2 linked regions of the Coturnix japonica genome follow. The main gene of each other region encodes a partner of the protein of the gene in region 2 in a complex. Links are inferred from orthologs where the notes say so. Each region holds a gene or a part of one and is shown on either strand. Other genes may lie near its edges.

What was found.
Region 1: the proteins of PRKAA2 (region 2) and PRKAB2 are in contact, whole or in part, in a crystal structure (PDB 6B2E), measured with the Homo sapiens proteins. The link is inferred for Coturnix japonica from reciprocal best matches to the Homo sapiens genes PRKAA2 and PRKAB2. Residues at the interface, in NP_006243.2 of Homo sapiens: Gly9, Arg10, Val11, Lys12, Ile13, Thr21, Asn48, Arg49, Val58, Gln66, Gln81, Val82, Ile83, Ser84, Thr85, Pro86, Thr87, Asp88, Phe89, Met134, Met164, Ser165, Asp166, Gly167, Glu168, Phe169, Leu189, Ala191, Glu194, Pro253; in NP_005390.1 of Homo sapiens: Val60, Ser61, Gln64, Glu67, Asp68, Ser69, Thr73, Gln74, Ala76, Pro78, Thr79, Val80, Ile81, Arg82, Ile106, Ser108, Val113, Ile115, Val155, Ser158, Asp159, Phe160, Glu161, Phe163, Asp164, Lys167, Leu168, Gln191, Met193, Tyr194.

The regions. Positions count from the first base shown.
Region 1 is NC_029523.1:4,165,556-4,174,520, forward strand, and holds the start of PRKAB2 (5'-AMP-activated protein kinase subunit beta-2), read right to left. Parts: upstream 5,370-8,965; 5' UTR 5,295-5,369; intron 4,788-5,294; exon of another isoform or gene 4,149-4,787; 5' UTR 4,133-4,148; coding exon 3,971-4,132; intron 3,645-3,970; coding exon 3,478-3,644; intron 2,574-3,477; coding exon 2,480-2,573; intron 2,281-2,479; coding exon 2,160-2,280; intron 842-2,159; coding exon 708-841; intron 424-707; coding exon 355-423; intron 1-354. Other genes in the region: dimethylaniline monooxygenase [N-oxide-forming] 5-like, read right to left, coding at 5,668-6,031, 6,106-6,178, 6,509-6,858, 6,932-7,131, 7,271-7,413, 7,716-7,878, 7,955-8,143, 8,910-8,965. UniProt on the Homo sapiens protein: Non-catalytic subunit of AMP-activated protein kinase (AMPK), an energy sensor protein kinase that plays a key role in regulating cellular energy metabolism.
Region 2 is NC_029523.1:23,037,914-23,046,306, reverse strand, and holds part of PRKAA2 (5'-AMP-activated protein kinase catalytic subunit alpha-2), read right to left. Parts: exon of another isoform or gene 7,723-8,393; intron 3,318-7,722; coding exon 3,176-3,317; intron 1,147-3,175; coding exon 1,053-1,146; intron 1-1,052. UniProt on the Homo sapiens protein: Catalytic subunit of AMP-activated protein kinase (AMPK), an energy sensor protein kinase that plays a key role in regulating cellular energy metabolism.

The sequences.
Region 1 (8,965 bases), about 19 Mb from region 2:
AGGAAGAGGCCCCTGCCGCTCTATAGGCCTGGGGGGGGCTGGCCCAGCCACCAAGAACCACCCACCCACCCAAGACAAAGAGCCAAGGAACGGAGCTGGCTTATGACAGGAGAGCACGGGGCTGCCCAGCTCCACCAGGCTGTGAGGAGGCAGCTACAGGGAACTGGGAGCTGTACGGACATCACCACCACCTACACCCCAGCGCATGCCACGTTTAACCAGGCAGCCAAGCAATCCCCAGGTGAGTCCTTGGACCTCTGTGCCACCATCACCACCCCAGGGCCGTCCACATTCTATGAGCTCTGGGAGTCACTCCCCTTCCCCCAGCCCGTGGCCGCTGGGGCCTCCCCTTACCTTGATGGAGAGTGCGTAGAGGTGATTGAGCATGACGTGGTTGGGTTCGGGCAGCAGGGCCGGGTCACACTAGGACAAGAGAAGCGTCAGAGGAGAATAGCAGAACCCTGACCCCCAGCATGAGAAGCAAGGAGCTGCCATCTCAGACAATCTGAGCTGCTGGGTGGCTGTTCAGAACATGAACAGAGCTCGGCTCAGCACAAGGCAGAGTGGTCACTGAGAAAAATCAATGCTCTTCTCAACAAAGAGCAAGGGCCAGGCACCAGCTAAGGGCTGAGCAGGCTTCTTGCAGACAGGAATCCCCTTCTGGCCTCTATGTTGCTCTCTGTATGCAGCTGTGTGCTGGTACCCACCGAGATATTGGTGTCCTTGTTGAGGATGACCTGGAGGAGGTGAGGCGGGAGGATGGGAGGGGATTTGAAGCGTTCCTCAGGCCGGTACACATACATCTCTTGGCCGTAAGGTCCAGGTGGTGAACTTGATAAGTCTAAAGGGAAGAGGCATAAGGTGGCTCGATCACTGATCAGCTCCTAGGATGCTGAGAAGAACCCAGCAGGGTCTTTCAGGCATTGAAGTGTTTCATGAGCCCAGTCTGCGACTGGTACTGAGAAGGCTGGGATCAGCCTGTAGTGGGGCAGCTGTACAGGCTCAGCATATTTAGAAACCACAGCATCTAGGGAATAGAAGGTGACTTGTTCTGTTTCAGAGGGGTCTTCAGACCTCAGTTTCCCCTTAGCCACGTATCATATAGCAACAGATCAGACTTTCCTCAGCAGAACAAGCAGCCAGGCAAGCTGTGGGTGTATCCAAGCACGCCTGTAAGGTGGCACATGCACCGACACAACACAGGCACCCTGTGGAATCCACCCCAGGACCCCTGCACACAACTCTCAGCACTGCTGGGTCCCCCTCCCTGTTCCAAGCAGCACCCAGCCCCAGAGCAGCACCCGTTGCAGCAGGCGCAGGGGCACAGCAAGCAGTACATCTGCACAACTGCCTGACACAGAGGCTCCAAAAGAGGATACAGAAGCTGTTCAGCCTGTGTGAGGGTCCTCAGGAGCTTGTGGTCACTGTAAGATGGACAGATCGCATCTCCCATCCACATCTGACCTGCTCATTTTGGAACAGCCAGCACCCTGAAGGTTCCACCTCCTTGGAGATGAAGCTTGATGGCTTCTTTCTGGGCTTGGGCAAGGGCCTGGAGCTGAGGCTCTATCTGAGACGGGACTTAAAGCATGGAAGGCAGGCTGTGCTCAGAGCACCCTGGACTGAAACATGACTGAACTACCTGCCAGCACCACTCACCAAGCCAGCACTGCCAGCATCTGTGTGGTAACTCAACCCGCTGCTGTAACACGAGTGGAGAGAGCTTTCTGATGCGCTAGCAATAGTACAAATAGCCTCGGTGTGAAAACCAAGAGCAGCTGCTGAAAATAGCCTGGATCCTGCTCTCACCTGGCTTCTACCCCAGATCAGATGACTTACTCACAGTTGAGCAGACAGAAAGGAGAGATGTGTTCCCAGTGTTCACTGGTCTGACATGGCCATCTCAGCCGCAGGCAGGCACCAGCCCTGCTCTGGGACCATGCTAGCACAGAACAGGTTACACCAGCACAGCCTCCTTGGAGACAATGCCTCAGCTAGGAGCTGCTCAGGCCAGGGACAGGACATGCTGCCAAACATTAATCTCTGTGTGTGTGGGCCCACACCCCTGCTAAGGGGAGCTGTTTGTCCCCAGAGCAGTGAGTCTCAGAGTAGGAAGTGGAAAATAGCACATGCAAAGCTGTAATGCCACAAAAACTCACCCCGACCTGAGGTTTCGGAGCTCTCCAGGGAATCCACTTTTAAAGCGTCGAACACCTCAAAGTCAGACTTCTTGACGTGAATCAGATTGTTAATCGTCCCCATCTGGCTGGTGACCACGGGCTGGAAAGAACTAAGGTAAGAGGCTTCCTACGTTCACCCTCAGTTGAAGTGTACTCATGCTTCCCAGCTTCTCCCAGCCTGAGCTGCCTTTCTTACGCCATTACCCCTCTGCCCTTTCTACTTCCCCTCTACTGAGTTTACATCATGTTTTGGGCCCCAAAGAGGTCAAGACTTGCAGTGATAAAGCTTTGAGAGTTACCTCGGATGGGTCGTGGACCCACTGGCCATCCACAAAAAACTTGTACTGGTGCTCTCCTTCTGGGAGGTCCAGGATAGCAACGAAGTCGTTGTGGCTGTGCAGAGAGAACAGATGTACAACACCATTACTGCAGTGATGCTTTGGATGCTGTCCCAGAGAAGAGCACTTTGTCATGCACTGCCTGCCCCCTCGACCCAAACACCCATGTGCTGGGTTAGGATTGCTCATCACTCAAGGCATGGCCAGAGCAGGTGCGAGTGCCCAGAGCCCCAGGATGATTCAGATCCCTCAGGGCCCATAGAATCGTAGACTCATTAGGGTTGGAAAAAAACACTAAGATCATCTGTTCCAATCAGGACACAAGGCAAACAGGAGCTCAGCTTGCAGCCCTGCCCCACACATCGTGTGGGATCACATGATGGCAAGTGCAAGACACACTGGACAGGGCGAGTGAACAACGAATCTAAACCTGTGCTGGTACTGCAGGATGAAAGCATGAAGTGCCTGTGAAGTCTGCAGTCGAGATAATCCCGTGGCAGGTATTTGCTGGGATTATGCCCAGTCCTACATAGTGTTTCCACAGAAAACACAGGTGTACTGCAGAACAACGAGGACACTGCTATGGAAGGAGGACAGGTGAGGGACAACCAAACAACTCCCTCTAGCAGCAACACAAGCAGGCAAGGAGAAGGGCCACCAAGCTTCAGAGAGCTGCAGCACACCTGGGCAGGGCCCTGCTGCCAGGATGGCTGCTGTGTGGCATGTAATTGGGAAAGCAAGGAGGCCCATCCTGTCCTGTCCCATTTCACAGTTTCTCCCTACCACTGCAGCAGCCCCCAGGCAGGATGCTGGCTGCATATTTGTGCTCACACCTCGAGCTCGGGCATGATGAACTGTGAGAAGCCAGGTTGGGCAAAGGGAACAGCAAATGGCACTGAGAAAAACGCTCCCTGCGACTGATGGAGGAGAACACGGGGTGAGCCAAGGGGTATAGCTACCTCTTGATGAGCGGGATCTTGGTGCTCCAGTTGTTGAAGGATCCAGAGATGAAGACCTCTTTGCCTCCATCAGCCCAGCGGATGACAGTGGGCCGAGCCTGCTGGGATGGCTTCACTGACTCCTCCAGGTCAGGCTGCCATGAAACAAACTCCTTGTCCCCTGGAATCTGAGCAGAGAACACCAGAGCCGTTTCATTTCCCTCCACCTCCATTTGCACATTGCAGACAATAGTAACCTCAGGCTGGGCAGGCAGCTCCACCCATCCATCCCAGGAGATGTTTCTCCTGTGTTGCAGCTCAGCTTGTGGTTCCTGCTATGAAAGCTGTACCCCGGCACACTGCCACCCTGCCTGTATTTAGCTTGAATTAAACAGAGGGCTGCTCCCAACCAAAAATCCTCTCCTTGAAAGCAGCCTCAGCCCAGCACAGCCCCCTATGGGACACCACCCAGCACCCGACGTGAGGACAACAAAGGCAGCAGCCAGCCCCCTACCTTGGAGTCGTGGGAGCTGAAAACACTGGGGTCATCTGTGCTGCCCACCATGATCTTGTGTGGGTGCTCCTTTGTGGGATGGGCAGCGCCGGAGCCGTCGGAGCGGTGGGACTTGGAGCCATGGCGCTCACCGGACACTCGCTCGCTGGTGGTGTTTCCCATGACAGCTCAGCAGCCGCTGTGAGAGGGGGAAGAAGGCAGTGTTGCCTATGTCCGTGGGCTCCAGCAGGGAGCAGGGTGCTGCTTCCCGCTGCCTTTTGCCAGCACAGAGTGACAGCAATCCTAAAAAAGGCCCAAAGTTCTTCCCCGATGCCAAGTTTGGGAGCCGAAGGGGAATTTAACAAGCGAGACAGGCTGAACTAATTATAGGCATACCCTTATGAGCCATCGTGATAGTTAAGCCGGTAATTGTTATACCCTAAAACAAAAGTGAGTTAGACCACATCCTACACAAGTAGAAGGGCTGATGAGAGAAATAAAGCCACCCTTGAGTGGCAGATTGTCTCCCGGCACTAACAGAGCCTCTTTCACAACCCCACAGTCAGCCTGCACAGAACACAACGCTACAGCCAGCAGGAAAACAGCCGGAGAGTGAAAGTAGCAGCTGTTAACAGCTCCCAACGAGTGTGGGTGAGCCTGCGGGCAGAGCAGCACGGCTTCACGGCTGGCACAGCAACAGTGCTGCAAGTAGCAGGAGTGGAATCGGCCAGGCTGGAGTGCGGCCAGGGCAAGGAGTAACAACACGGTGTGTGCAGGCTGTGCTGCTGAGCAGGCTGCGCTCATAGCCGACCCCAGGGCTGCGTGTCTGCCCAGCGCCGGGCGATACATGGGCTGAGCCCATCGCTGGGGCAGCCGGCTGTGTTCTGCAGGGAGCCAGCCTTGATTCACTGGGTGCGTTGTGACAGCTGCGGATTTGCTTAGAACATCAAGCTATGTGCGGAGGGCCGGGTGAGGCCGCCAGCCAAAGCCTGGCTTTAAACCATTACGGGGCAATTACTCGAGTATTCCTTAAGCCCTCAGAGGGCAGCGAGCCCACGGCTCACCCCACGGCAACGATGAGATGTGCAGGGCCGCTGCAGCACCGCCCGGCACAGTGCCGGCCATAGCGGTGTCACCGGGCGCGGCGTTACGGTACCAACGGCACCGACACCCGCACCACCGCCCACAGCGTCACCCCCCGCACCGCCGCCCTGACAGCCCCACCCCCTGCCGCCTCCTGTCCGCTCCGGGCCCCCCGCCCCGCCGTGACACCCAGCACCCAACCCGGCCCCACAGCACACGGGGGCAGCGCAGCCCCCCATGGCAGCCCCGCTCGCAGCCCCACCTGCCCGCCGCCGCCGCCGCCGCCCCGCTCTCCGCCTCCGATCAAAATGGCGGCCGCCTCCACCGCCAGCCTCTGCGGGGCGCTCTGTCCCGCCCCCGCGCTGCTCTCTATGGTACCGGGCAGCCATTTTGTTTGAGGGCGGTGTGGCTTCCGGGAGAGCGGCCATCTTTGCTGTGGGAGCGCGGCCTGGTGCGAGTAGTTTGCGTTGTGCAGTGCGGGCGTTAATGAGCGCAGCCCAGAGCCTGAGCCTTCATGGAGAACAAGGACGAGCTTTATTGCCTTTCTCATGAGGAAAACGTGCCCCGTGCCCCTCCCAGCGACACCGAAACCCAAGGCAGAGTTAGGGGATGGCCAAAGCCCTCTTCACTAGGGGCTATGGGGACAGCGAGACGTAGATGAGCGTGGCCACGATGAGTCCGAGGCTGAAGAGGACCTTGAAGCTGTGTGGCACCGAGCTGCAGGGCGGCACAGAGCGGCCGTGCCCGGCCCTGCCCCGCAGCGGGTGCTCCACGCGCTGCTGCTGAGTCAGGATGGCCTCCCGCGCACCCTGCCATGCGCCGGGGCCATGCAGGCGGTACTGGTAGGGCGTGCAGGGCCCCAGCAGCACCTCCAGCGCCAGCCTGGGGTCAGTGAGGAAAAGCAGCGGCACGTTGGGCTTGACGCCCAGCTGGCAGGCGAGCTCGTCCATGTAGGGGATGTAATCCACCTGGATGGTGTGCCGCCGGCTGGCCACGTACCTGTGGGCAGGGACAGGCTCTGTGTGTGCTCATCGAGGAGGTGGTGGCAGGTTGGTGCCCCGCAGGGTTCTTACCGCTTGGCTATTTTCTCCTTGGCTTGTGTGATGTCAGCCAACATGGTGCTGGTTGGGGGCAGCTTGTGCAGACCTACAGAAGGAGAAGCAGAGAGCTGTGCTATCAGCAGTTGTGTCCCTCTGCGCCCAGCGTGGCTGCTGTGCCACAGGAAAAGCCTTTGGGCCACCAAATGGGGCAAGAGAGAGGCATGGGCAAAGAAATAAGAGAGAGAAAATGGTTTGCAGGTGAGGAGATCCATTACCAGCTGTATGTGATGAAATAAAGTGCAACACTTGTTGCAAAATGCAGTGATGTTTTATATCCCTTCATAGAAGGATGATAAAAGGAGGAGCACATGCCAGCAACTGAATAATTTGGCCTTGCCATACCCAGAGAAGTGCATTCCCGGCTCGCCTCGCTTACCCTTAAAGACACGGGTGGCCCAGCGGCTCTGCATCTCCGAGATGGGCATGATGGCTCCCAGAGGCTGGATGTAGCCAATGAAAGCCAGCGTCGGCTTCTCCAGGTCAACTGGGAACATAAACTTGTAGAGGGGGACCTGATTCTCCACCACCTTCACATAGTCCTCAAGGAAGGGGAAGGAGAAGCTGTACCCTGTGGCAAAGACTACAGCATCGATGTTTTCCTTAGTGCCATCCTCAAAGATGGCAGATGTCTCCGTGAACTCCTTGATGTTTGGCTTCACCCGCACCCTGCCCGAAATGACACGGTTGGGCAGGTCGTCGTTGATGGTCAGGTGCTGGTTGAAGACCCTGGTGAGAACAAACAGAGCTCATGCAGGACCGAGTGCAGGCAGGCCCCCATAACTCTGCCACGAACACTCACCGGTGTTTTGGCTTCAGACCATACAGAGCGTGGTCAAAGCGCATGTTGAGTTTCCTCTCCAGCATGAAGTTGCTCACGGAGAGGGGCAGCAGGCTTTGGAGGAGCTGGATGAAGCGATTGATGTAAGAGAAGTCAAAGGGGTACCCACCTTCTGCCACTCGGTGCATCACCCATGTCCCACGCTTGGTGCTGAGGAAGACCTGGTAGAAGTGAGAAGGGACACTTAATGTGAAGTGCAATGCTGGTACAAACTCAGACAGACCTGCATGGTCCAGGAATAAAAACAGGCTGTGAGCAAGGAGCAGGGGCGTGCTGAGCCTGGTTGTCTTGGGACATCACCTGCTTGGCTGTGTGGCTCAGCTCCACCGCGATGTCGATGCCTGAGTTCCCGGTGCCGACCACGATGACCCGCTTCTCCGCAAAGGCCTGTGGGCTCTTGTAGTCCCGGCTGTGCAGGTACCAGCCTTCAAACTTGTCCAGTCCTGCAGGAGAGAGCAGGGCCATGCTGGGTGGGGGTGGCTGTCATTTCCTTGAGCTAGGTGTGGGCTCTGGGAGCAGGCTGAGCCCAGTGGGAACAGCCCAGGGATGGTACCCAGGGAGGTGGTGGCATCTCCAACCTGGGAGATGGTCGGTGCCACCCTCAGCACCCTGCTTGGCTTTGGGGTTTTTGACGTGAGGGGAGCAACCACAGGCGGGGGTCAAGGCTCAGCCAGAGGGGATAGAGCTGTGAAGAGTCTTGGGGAAGAGGAAAGCATCCCTGGGGCAGGGGCACATGGCAGCGTACCAGGGAAGGCGTGCAGCGGGAGGTGTGCGTCGCTGTGGTGCCCGGTGCACACCAACACGGCGTCGAAGATGGCTGACTGCTGCTTGCCCTCGCTCTCGGTCTCCACCTCCCAGCGGCCCGTGGTGGCAAAGTCAGGGCTCTTGGACACGCGACGCACACTGGTCTGGGTGAGGGGAGCAGATGTCAGTGTCCCTGTGGTTGGTCCTGTCCCCGTGCTGCCCCCGGCCCCCAGTGCTCACCCTGAAGCGGATGTGGCGGAGCAGGTCAAAGCGCTGGGCGTACATGCGGAAGTACTCCATGATCTTGGAGTGGTGCATGTAGTTGGGGAAGTCGTCGGGGATGGGGAAGTCGCTGAAGCACATCATCTCCTTGGAAGTGTTGATGATGACGGAGTGGTAGATGCTGGCGCGGCCCTCCTCGGGCTTCTCCTGCAGGTATGGGGCATGGCTCAGTGCTGGCCAGGGGAATGTATGGCAGCCCCAAACCCACCTATGTTATGACTATCCTATCAGTCCCACAGGACTGAGACAGCCCAGATCCTGGTATCTGCCCCAGCAGCTCAGCCTCTGGCTCTCATGCATTGGCTCTGCTCTACCATTGGGCAAAACCAGTGTCATGTTAGCCAAGCAGCCCCAAACCCCATGCCAACCCCTGCATTTCCCAGGTTGTCATGCTCATGGCAAAGGCTGGGCAGGGCAGCGGAGCATGCCAGGTTGGCTCTTCTGGGGAAGAAGAGACTGGCATCACTTGACGAGTGCAGAAACAAGCTCTGGGGCTTTCCCTTGGCAAGGAGAACAAAGGCAGCGGCCTGTGCCTGTGTGTGGGAGGTAGGAGAGGTAAAGGATGAGGAGCAGCCAGGACTTTGAGAGAAAGAAGGGGCTGGGAAGGATAGGAAAGTAATGCCAGCAGCAGTGGGGCAGCTGGAGGGGGGGGAGCAGGTGGGACCAGTGGGAAGGATAGGTGGGAGCAGGACAGGCTGGGAAGGGAAGGATAGGAAACATTCACCCTGAGGCAGGAAAACAAGCCCTGGGCTGAAAGCTGGCCCCAGCAGTGGTTCCTTAGGCAGGACCAATCCTGCACTACCAGCATCCCATTCTGCACCAAGGGGAAGTCCCAGCGGTGCTTCATTAGCTGACAGTAAGCGATCCTGTCTGCGCTGCTGCCTAGGGCAACTCGGTACAGCATGGTGCTTACCTCGAACCGCCACAGCCCCCCGATGTCCCCGCTCCTCTCAAAGCAGGTGGGGGTCA
Region 2 (8,393 bases):
CCAACCATCACCACCATGCCCATTAACCATGTCAAAACACCACAGAGGTTAGCATGGAGAACAGTTCTTCATGGACAAATGGCGAAGGTTGCTTTGGGGGGAAAAAACAAAAGCCAAAAGTGGAATATAGTGATGATACTACAGATAGAAAAACTACATATAAAATGATCAGGAAACTGATTGTTTGGTGGTTTTTTTTTGCCTGTGTGAAAACTAGTTTCTGAATATGGGAGTTCAGATGGAATGCATATTGGTCACTGAAAAGATCCAAAGTGAGCAAGATGAGCTGGAAATAAGAACTCTGTGTAGAAAAGTAAATGGAGTCAACTCCATCTACCAGTGCACTAATCCAAGACAACATATTGAGTTTTTGTAGTATAGAGAAGATACTGGGTTGATATAGAGAAGATCACACTGGGCTGATCCTTCACCTAAAGCATGGTTTTGGATGAACATTTTAGCCCCCTGATTGCTTTCTACCCACAAGAATGTTCTCCAGTCATTTTCTCTATAACCATAATATCATGTTTCATGCACTCAGCCTACTCCTCAGATGGTTTATACCCAGTAGGAACACTGGCATTTGAAAATGCTGCTCAGATAAGCCACATACTTTAAAAAGCCTTCAAAAAGCCTGATGAGGAGCCAAAGGGGAGTCTGGAGGAGGAGAATGACTGGGATGGAGACCACACTGAGTGCTCCCCCGCTCCAATGCCCTGCATGCACATAAATCTGCTGCTGAACCAGGGGGTTGGTTAGGCAACCTATAGCTAAAAACTATAGATATGGTGGTTTTCCAAATGTCTTCACTAAGCAAGACATTACCTTGGATATTTTAGTTTGCATATCGAAATACATCATGGAACACTGAAAAAAAATGGCACACATCTTATGTGCAAGGCAAGTATGAGACTCTCCAGATGGGATTGCTGTGAAGCAGCTTCTATTCTGGGCCTTAACCTTAGTTGTCTTCCCTTTAGCAGCCATTTTACTTCAGAACATAATCCTCTTCCCACACAGGAGTTTGGGGCTGACATGGTACTAGCACTTACACGTCCGTGCTTACAGATGTAATCAAATAATTCACCACCAGATACATATTCCATGACCATGAAGAAGTCCGTTGGTGTGCTGATGACCTGGTACCTTCAAAATCACAAAGAAAAAATATATTAATAAGAAAGGGAAAGGCTTTGAAACAGATTACTAGCTTCTAGTCAACCCTTAACATAAGCACATGGATCTTGTGTTTATAATCATTTTTCATTGCTGAAAAAGCCATCTCTTATTTCAAGGGGCACGTCAGGATAATCTTTCACTTGTCTATGAAAGGATCTCTTTCACAGATTGACCCTTTTGCTTCAATCTTTTAAATAATCCTCTGAAATCTCTGCCAGACAACCCTATTGCATTTAGGACTTTCCTGACATTCAAGTTTCCATTTTGGCTAAGATGCGCAACAACATCTTCAGAAGTCAAAACTTCATTAAAATGGGATTGGGAACTGAGTATGTTTGGTTTACTTCATACTGAAGATATAAAAAAGGAGATCTAGATACTACATGGAGCTACCCTTGGAAAGGCATAGAAACAAAGACAAGCACCCCAAAAGATTAACATCATTCTTCAAACATTAAGCTCCTCTATATTCTAGAATTATAAACGTAAAGGAAAGTAAAAGAGTTGCCTCCTTGATGTGCAGATTTACCCTCCACCTCTGTTAAATGATCCCTGAGTGCTACAAATGCACTTCAGTTTCCCATCCGGCGTAACCCGATGGCAATGATCTGAGGTCAAAGCAGCTGTAGCAATGCATAGCAGCACCAGCTGAGGCTCCCTGTGATTTATTTCAGACATACTGTTTGCTTTTGCTATTTTATTTGTTTATTTTTCACAGCTGATAAATAGGCTTCATTTTCAGAGGTGATCAAGTGAACAGGTGACAGTCCCAGTAAAGATCAATGGGATCAGCTTAACTTTTCTGAAGTGTTTTGCTCTTGGACATCTAAGTTAATAGCACTACCATTTCTTGTATATACACATAAAGTGACGAGACACCACAAGGGTTTAAACAAGAACCTCATGTGCCATAGACTCCCCTTCACCTCTTCATCAGTGTATTTCAGGGCTGCAGTATTTAGAGGAGACTGATCAACTGAATTTAATCTCCAGGCTTTCATGGTTTGTTTGATGAATGTGTGTGCAGACTGCAAGGATGCTGGATGAGCAGCCAGGACTTTTGCTGCCTTTTTTTTGTGAAATAATACCAATCTGTTCTCCAATAAATCCACGGAACTCTGAAGTTACTCTAAAGTCAACAGTTGCTGCATGGTTAGTTATTTAACTTAGGGAGAATTTGTTTTCCCTTTCCTCTAAGTCCCAGGTATTTGCTATATCTCATGCCAGTTTTAAGGCTGACCTAAATGTCAACTTATCCTTGCAGTTACCATTCAACAGCTTTCTTTTATAGAAATGCCAAAGATATTATCGAGTGCCTCATTAATGTGAACTGGCTACACAAACCAGGGATTGAGATGGAATCCCAGAGGCAGGAGTGCAGGTGCTGATTTACAACTTAAATTCAGATTCATCAGAGTAGCAATGTTGAAAACTTAAGTCTGAATAATAAATAAAAATATATATGTTCCTTTAAGCAATGGATAATCAGGCCATGAAAACGTAAATCCTATTGACTTCAGGCCAAGGCTTCACTCTAACAGCCTGCTCATGCTGTTATTCCTCAGGCACGATTCTCCATCACTTCAAGTCATGAGATACTGACCCAACAAAGGAGAATCATAGAGACTCCTCATAAAATCCCAACGCAGGAAAGCACAGATCCTGTCTATGCATCTTTATAATGACTTCTGAATGGAAAAGTGGAAGTTTGGGCAGGTTTAGCAGAGCAAACCTTGGTGAGGCTCATGGTTGGTATAATGGCCCAAACCCCTCAGTAGGAAAAACACCTTCCAGAGTTCCTCAATGTGTGGATTGTGCCCCCATGCAAGTTAACAGGAAGGCATTACAATAGCAGCATTTTGGCTTCAACATGCAAAAACCTGACCACACATCTACCACTCTGTACAACCATAAGACATCTCTTGAAAACAAGTCAACGTGTGAAGTCTCTGCAGATAGAGGAGTAAGCTGAACGCATGGCAGAACATCTACTTACAGCTTGATAATATGAGGGTGCCGGAAGAGTTTCAGGTTTTGAATTTCTCGTTTGATCTTCCCAACCACATCCAGGCTGCGTATTTTCTGTCTGTTCAGGATTTTTACTGCCACTTTGTGCCCTGTCAGCTGGTGTTCGCCAACTAATAGAAAGAGGGCATTGCAAAGTCATTACGCGGAGCAGTTAAGATTCATATTGGAGATTAAAGATACTGAGACAGAAGATTTATAAGCTAAAAAAGGCAATAAAGAGTAGAAATTGGGGTGTTTTAAGTATAGTCTGGATATCAGGACTTTATTTTCCTCACCTTTCCTACAGGTACTCTTTCTATATTTTGTGAGTCCTATTCTATGCAGTGAAAGTGGATTCAAACACCCAATAAGCAGCAGGTTTCCAGGAAGCAAAATGATGCACCATTTCATACAATGCCCCAACCAAAAGTGCAGGAATGAGCGCACAGTGTATAAATGACTTCAAAACTAGATTGGAGATGTCAATACAAGGGAAATCCCAATCCTCAATGTGGCAATTTGGGAAAAAGAATAATTAAATCATAGAATCATAGAACGGCTTGGGTTGGAAGGGACCTTTAAGATCATCCAGTTACAACACTTTGTTTCTCTTTGCTTTACTATTTTCCCATTGCAAAGTAGGAAAAAAAAAAGAAAAGAGGGGACTTATGGCCAAAAAAAAAATGCTTAAGTAGATATGACAGAGTGAGTAAGAGGAGGTGGCCATAACCAAAAGTAATTTGCAAGGATTTAAAGCACAAAAAGGTTATGTTGATCAGAGACAAATATATTTAAATGGTGGGGGAGAACCTCCACTGTAATGCACAGGTTGAGTGCATTAAACCCAATAAACCTTGCCTTAAAACGAGACCATCACACTTCTTTAAAAAAAAAAAAAAAGATATAGGGATTTTCCCTGCCCAGAATAGGACTGCGGGATTTGCATTACTAAAATGAATTTCTATTTATACTTTCTCAAGCATGCTTCTCATTTTGATGACAAGCTGCAGGAACACCACGCTGGAGTGTAACAGCCCCAGCAAATTCTGCTTTAAGAAAAGACACAAACCTCAATGTGTGTTTTTATGCCATGCACTTGGTGCGCTCAGGTGCTACAGGGACAAATGGTGACCACAAGCTAGGAGCAGCACCGCTGTCACTGGTGGAACTGCACTAGTTTAATGGTAGTGCAAAATAAATTCAGATTCTGATCCATTTGCTATCAACAGCCTAAATAAGAAAACTCTCTGTGCGTAGGAAGCAAAATTTATAGTAAAGTTAACAGCAGAAACTGCTGGTAAGCAGATAGTTTACATCTGAACAGGTGCTTGCATCTAAAAGGGTGCTCTGGCCACAAGCTGCCCAGTCTCAGGATCTCCAAATGGGATTTTAAAGAAGGTAACATAGGGATGGCTTCCTAAGACTGCGGAGAAAACCTGCTTGCAGTATTCATTTAGGATCTCTAATTATGAATGCTACCCCCTCACTAATAGCACAGAGCAGAAGCTGTTAACAATTATGAGCAAACTCTGTTATTAGATTATTAGACTCAGTAATTTCAGAGCCTCTAAGGAGCTGATCAGAAGCAATGCATGTAAAACAGGAGGCCGGGGAAGGCAGGAGGCAGCACCAGCACCGCTCAGGGCACGCGAGGTCACTATTATTAGCCGCGAGATAAGACCTGCCAGAGATTCTTTCCTCAGTAAGAGCATCCTAAAAATAAAACACTTTTTACTGCTCTTGAAAATAAAAGCACCACTTTGCATGCCCATTTCATCCCTTCGTAATACTCAAACTACCAGATGAAATGAGAATAAACTAAGCTGTGCCGTTCAGATGCAATTTAGGGATTAGCGGAGGGTTGAAGTAGGCAGATAATTCCTCCTGGGTGGTGGCAGGAGAGCACTGAAAATAGTCAGAGGAGGCATTTTCCCTGGTGATCCTTGGGGAGGGGAGAGAAGGGCAGTGTGGGGAGGCTGTGCTGGAGTAACAGCCTGTATAGCGGCATGGGTGCCAGGGGTGCAGCAACCTGCTCGAGTTTTATAAGGGTCCAAAGCATACAGCCATGCAAGGAATTCTCCCCATCTTGTTGTGCTTTGGCCATCAGCTGCCTTGCAAAGATCTCTCTTTGCTGAGGTGGTCATGGCTATGCAGAGCAGAGGCCAGCAAAGGTAGAACAGGGGGTGTTGGGCAACTTCAGCCATCGTCTCCTAGACTTTGGATTTGTCTGATCTCCCTGGCTGGGAGTGCAATAAGCTGCATTTTGCCAGCTGCCCACAATTCATTTGCTCATGTTCAAGAACTGAAACGCACTAGGGCAATGGGGAAACTGAGGAACAGCAAAGTGGCTTATGGCAGTACTAGGAAGAAGACCTTGATCCTTGCCATTCTTCATTCTGGTCAACTCTTCCTGTCCTTGCAACAGCATAAGCTCTGAAAAAATTGGTATTAAACTCTTAGAAGAAAAAAAAACAAAGGTCATTCCTGGAGTGAATAATTATTGTTTTTAATCCCACTGCCCAACAGTTCATCTTCTTTCCATCCATGACAAACAATGTGCAACTCCGTGAAGGCTTTTCTAGCTCAAGCACACCAATAATTAAAACCAAACAGACTATTTTGTAATCCATCTTTTGCTTACAGTAAGCATTAGATACGGAGATATTCTTGTTCTAGTCCCCAGTGGCTTGTTAAGCCTACTTGAGTGTCTTGAGAGGGGGATGAAAAGACAACATAATTTGCTATGTGGTGGGAGTCCTTTAAGCCCTTTGGGTCTTTGGGGACAACGTTTCCCTTTGCTCACAGTCTCCAACCCAGCACACATTGGTGGGACAAGAAGCACTGGGAGGTCCCATGGGCTTAGCCAGGGCAAACCCAACTTTGCCACATGGAACAGGGAAAGGATGCACATGCTCCTCTGTGCTAATGGCACTGTCCTGTGCTGGTACCCAGGCTGGGCAGTGATGATGTCAGGTGGAGATGAGAAATCCTGCTCCTTCCTTCCCACTCACTGCCTAGATTAAAGCCTGAGGGGAGGAGGGAGGGCTGAGTGGCAGTATTAGAAAAGGGATTTGAGCATGTGTCTTGTCTTCTAGTGACAAGTACTCCAGTCAGCTTCCCCGCAGCTTAGAATCAGCAAACTCAGCTCCATTGGGGCAGGCAGAGGGGATGGATTTGACAGTGACTTGAAAGCACTGAGCATTGAACAGAGCCTGTAAACTCCAAAAACTGGCACCAAAGCAGACGTGGTGTGAGCATCCTTAGCTGTGACTGCATCTGTTTATGCATGGGACTGCCTGCATTACTCCAGAACTGGAGGCTGCTGGAGAAAGAAGGGAAGAGATATAATAGGATGAGTTTCTAACAGGAGACCCTCCATGTTTTATTATTTTTATAAGAGAGGAGAAAAAAGATGAGAGATTTATCCTACAGTAAGCTGAGATAGCCATTGAAGTCCTCTGGCAGATGGCTCAAAACCAAGTATCAGCTCATCCCCACAATGCCTACTGACCATGTCCCTCAGTGTCACATCTACCCTGTGTGTTTGGTGCAGCTCAGGAAGCATGGGCAGCTCAGCTTTTCACAAATGCTTTGCAAGGATTAGAAGAAGTTTAGGAAAGGGAAAGCAAAATCCTTCCCTATCAGCTGTGCTGGTCCTTAGCTTAGCCTGAAGTTACAAATGAAATCAATCCAAAGCATATATTTAGCAATGACATATTTGTTCTGTCCCAGTGCCACTTGCTCAGATGCTGTATCACCTTTCCTTTCCTCTTTCTTTCATCTGTTCAGCCTCTTTCAGTTGATCATCCCTCAGTGCAATGTTTGTCTTTCAGCAACAAATGTATAATGGGAATTGACCCCTACTTGAGGCTGAGTAATGGAGATAAACATAACCCAAGAACTGCTCATGGTGCAATGGCCGTGACTGGGATAGAGCTCTTTGTGGGGTGGGATATGCCTGGTGCACTCACAGCACTGATGTGTCCCACTTGCTCCTTCCCACTTCCAGAGGGAGAGATAACATCCTTTCCCTCATTGTTTCATAGAATCATAGAATGGCTTAGATTGGAAGGGACCTTAAAGATTATCTACTTCTACCTCCCTCTGCCATAGGCTGGTTGCCATCTATTAGATCAGTCTGCCCAGGGCCCCCATCCAACTTGGCCTTGGCCACCTCCAGGGATGGGGCATCTGCAATAAGAAACATGCTGCTGATGGCACCACCAAAACTATCATATACAACAAACACACAGCGTGAAGCAATCAGGAAGAGAAGTCTCCTCTCCCATGTTTCCTGCCAAACATGATGAGCACACCTGAAAGCTCATTAGGTTAAAACAGTGCTATTCTGCATTGCTCCAGTCAAACTCTAACTGGAGTTAAAGGGGGAAAATATACACGTAGAAAAGCTGCTAAGCCACAATGGATGGAGTTTGGAAATCTTTTTATGTTATTTTATATGTCCTTTGGAAGTCTGTTCTTAACCAATTGGGTGATATATGGTGTTGGGGGGGAAGGGGGGGAGATATTCACGCTACTCCTGAAGGGTCCTTAAGGAAATCAGGTTGTTGTTAGCAGGCTTCATTTGGTCTGCAAGAAAAAAGAAATCACCTTTGGGGCACTTTTTGAGGTCTGTTGGTACACAGGAGCGATTTGAATGGTCCTTTCTTTTAGAAGTGTTTATCCTGATAATTCTTTGGTTGGTAAATTCGTGGTTTGGGATTAAACATAGCAATATATTTTTAGGGGGCTGATTAATGGCCACAGGTGGATTTAGCTGCAGTGGTTAAGGTGTTTTCTCTGCCCTGCTGTCAATCTGGGGTTATTTAGATACGTGGGCAGGGGACAGCTGAGCAGGATGGGGTTCCACTCTGCCCCCAGCACCCAGACCTGCTGTCTGCTGGGAATCACAGCTCCTCACTCTGCTTGTATCACACGTTTGTGTAGAGGTGTTTTGTTCTTTTGTTTTTGTGGGGCTTGTTAATATCATGACTCGGGGGGAAAACGTGCACATAACGGTAGAACTGAAAGGAATAGAAATCTTTGCATCGGGAAAAGCAAAGCCAGTGCCTGGCTTGAGTGCGAGAACCATCAACCAGAGACATCCATCCCCGCGTGGCTCCATCGCTGACACCCCCACCCCAAAATGGGTGGGGGCAGCAGCGGAACCTCCTCACCCCCCACCTCCCAGGACCGAAGCGTTCTTC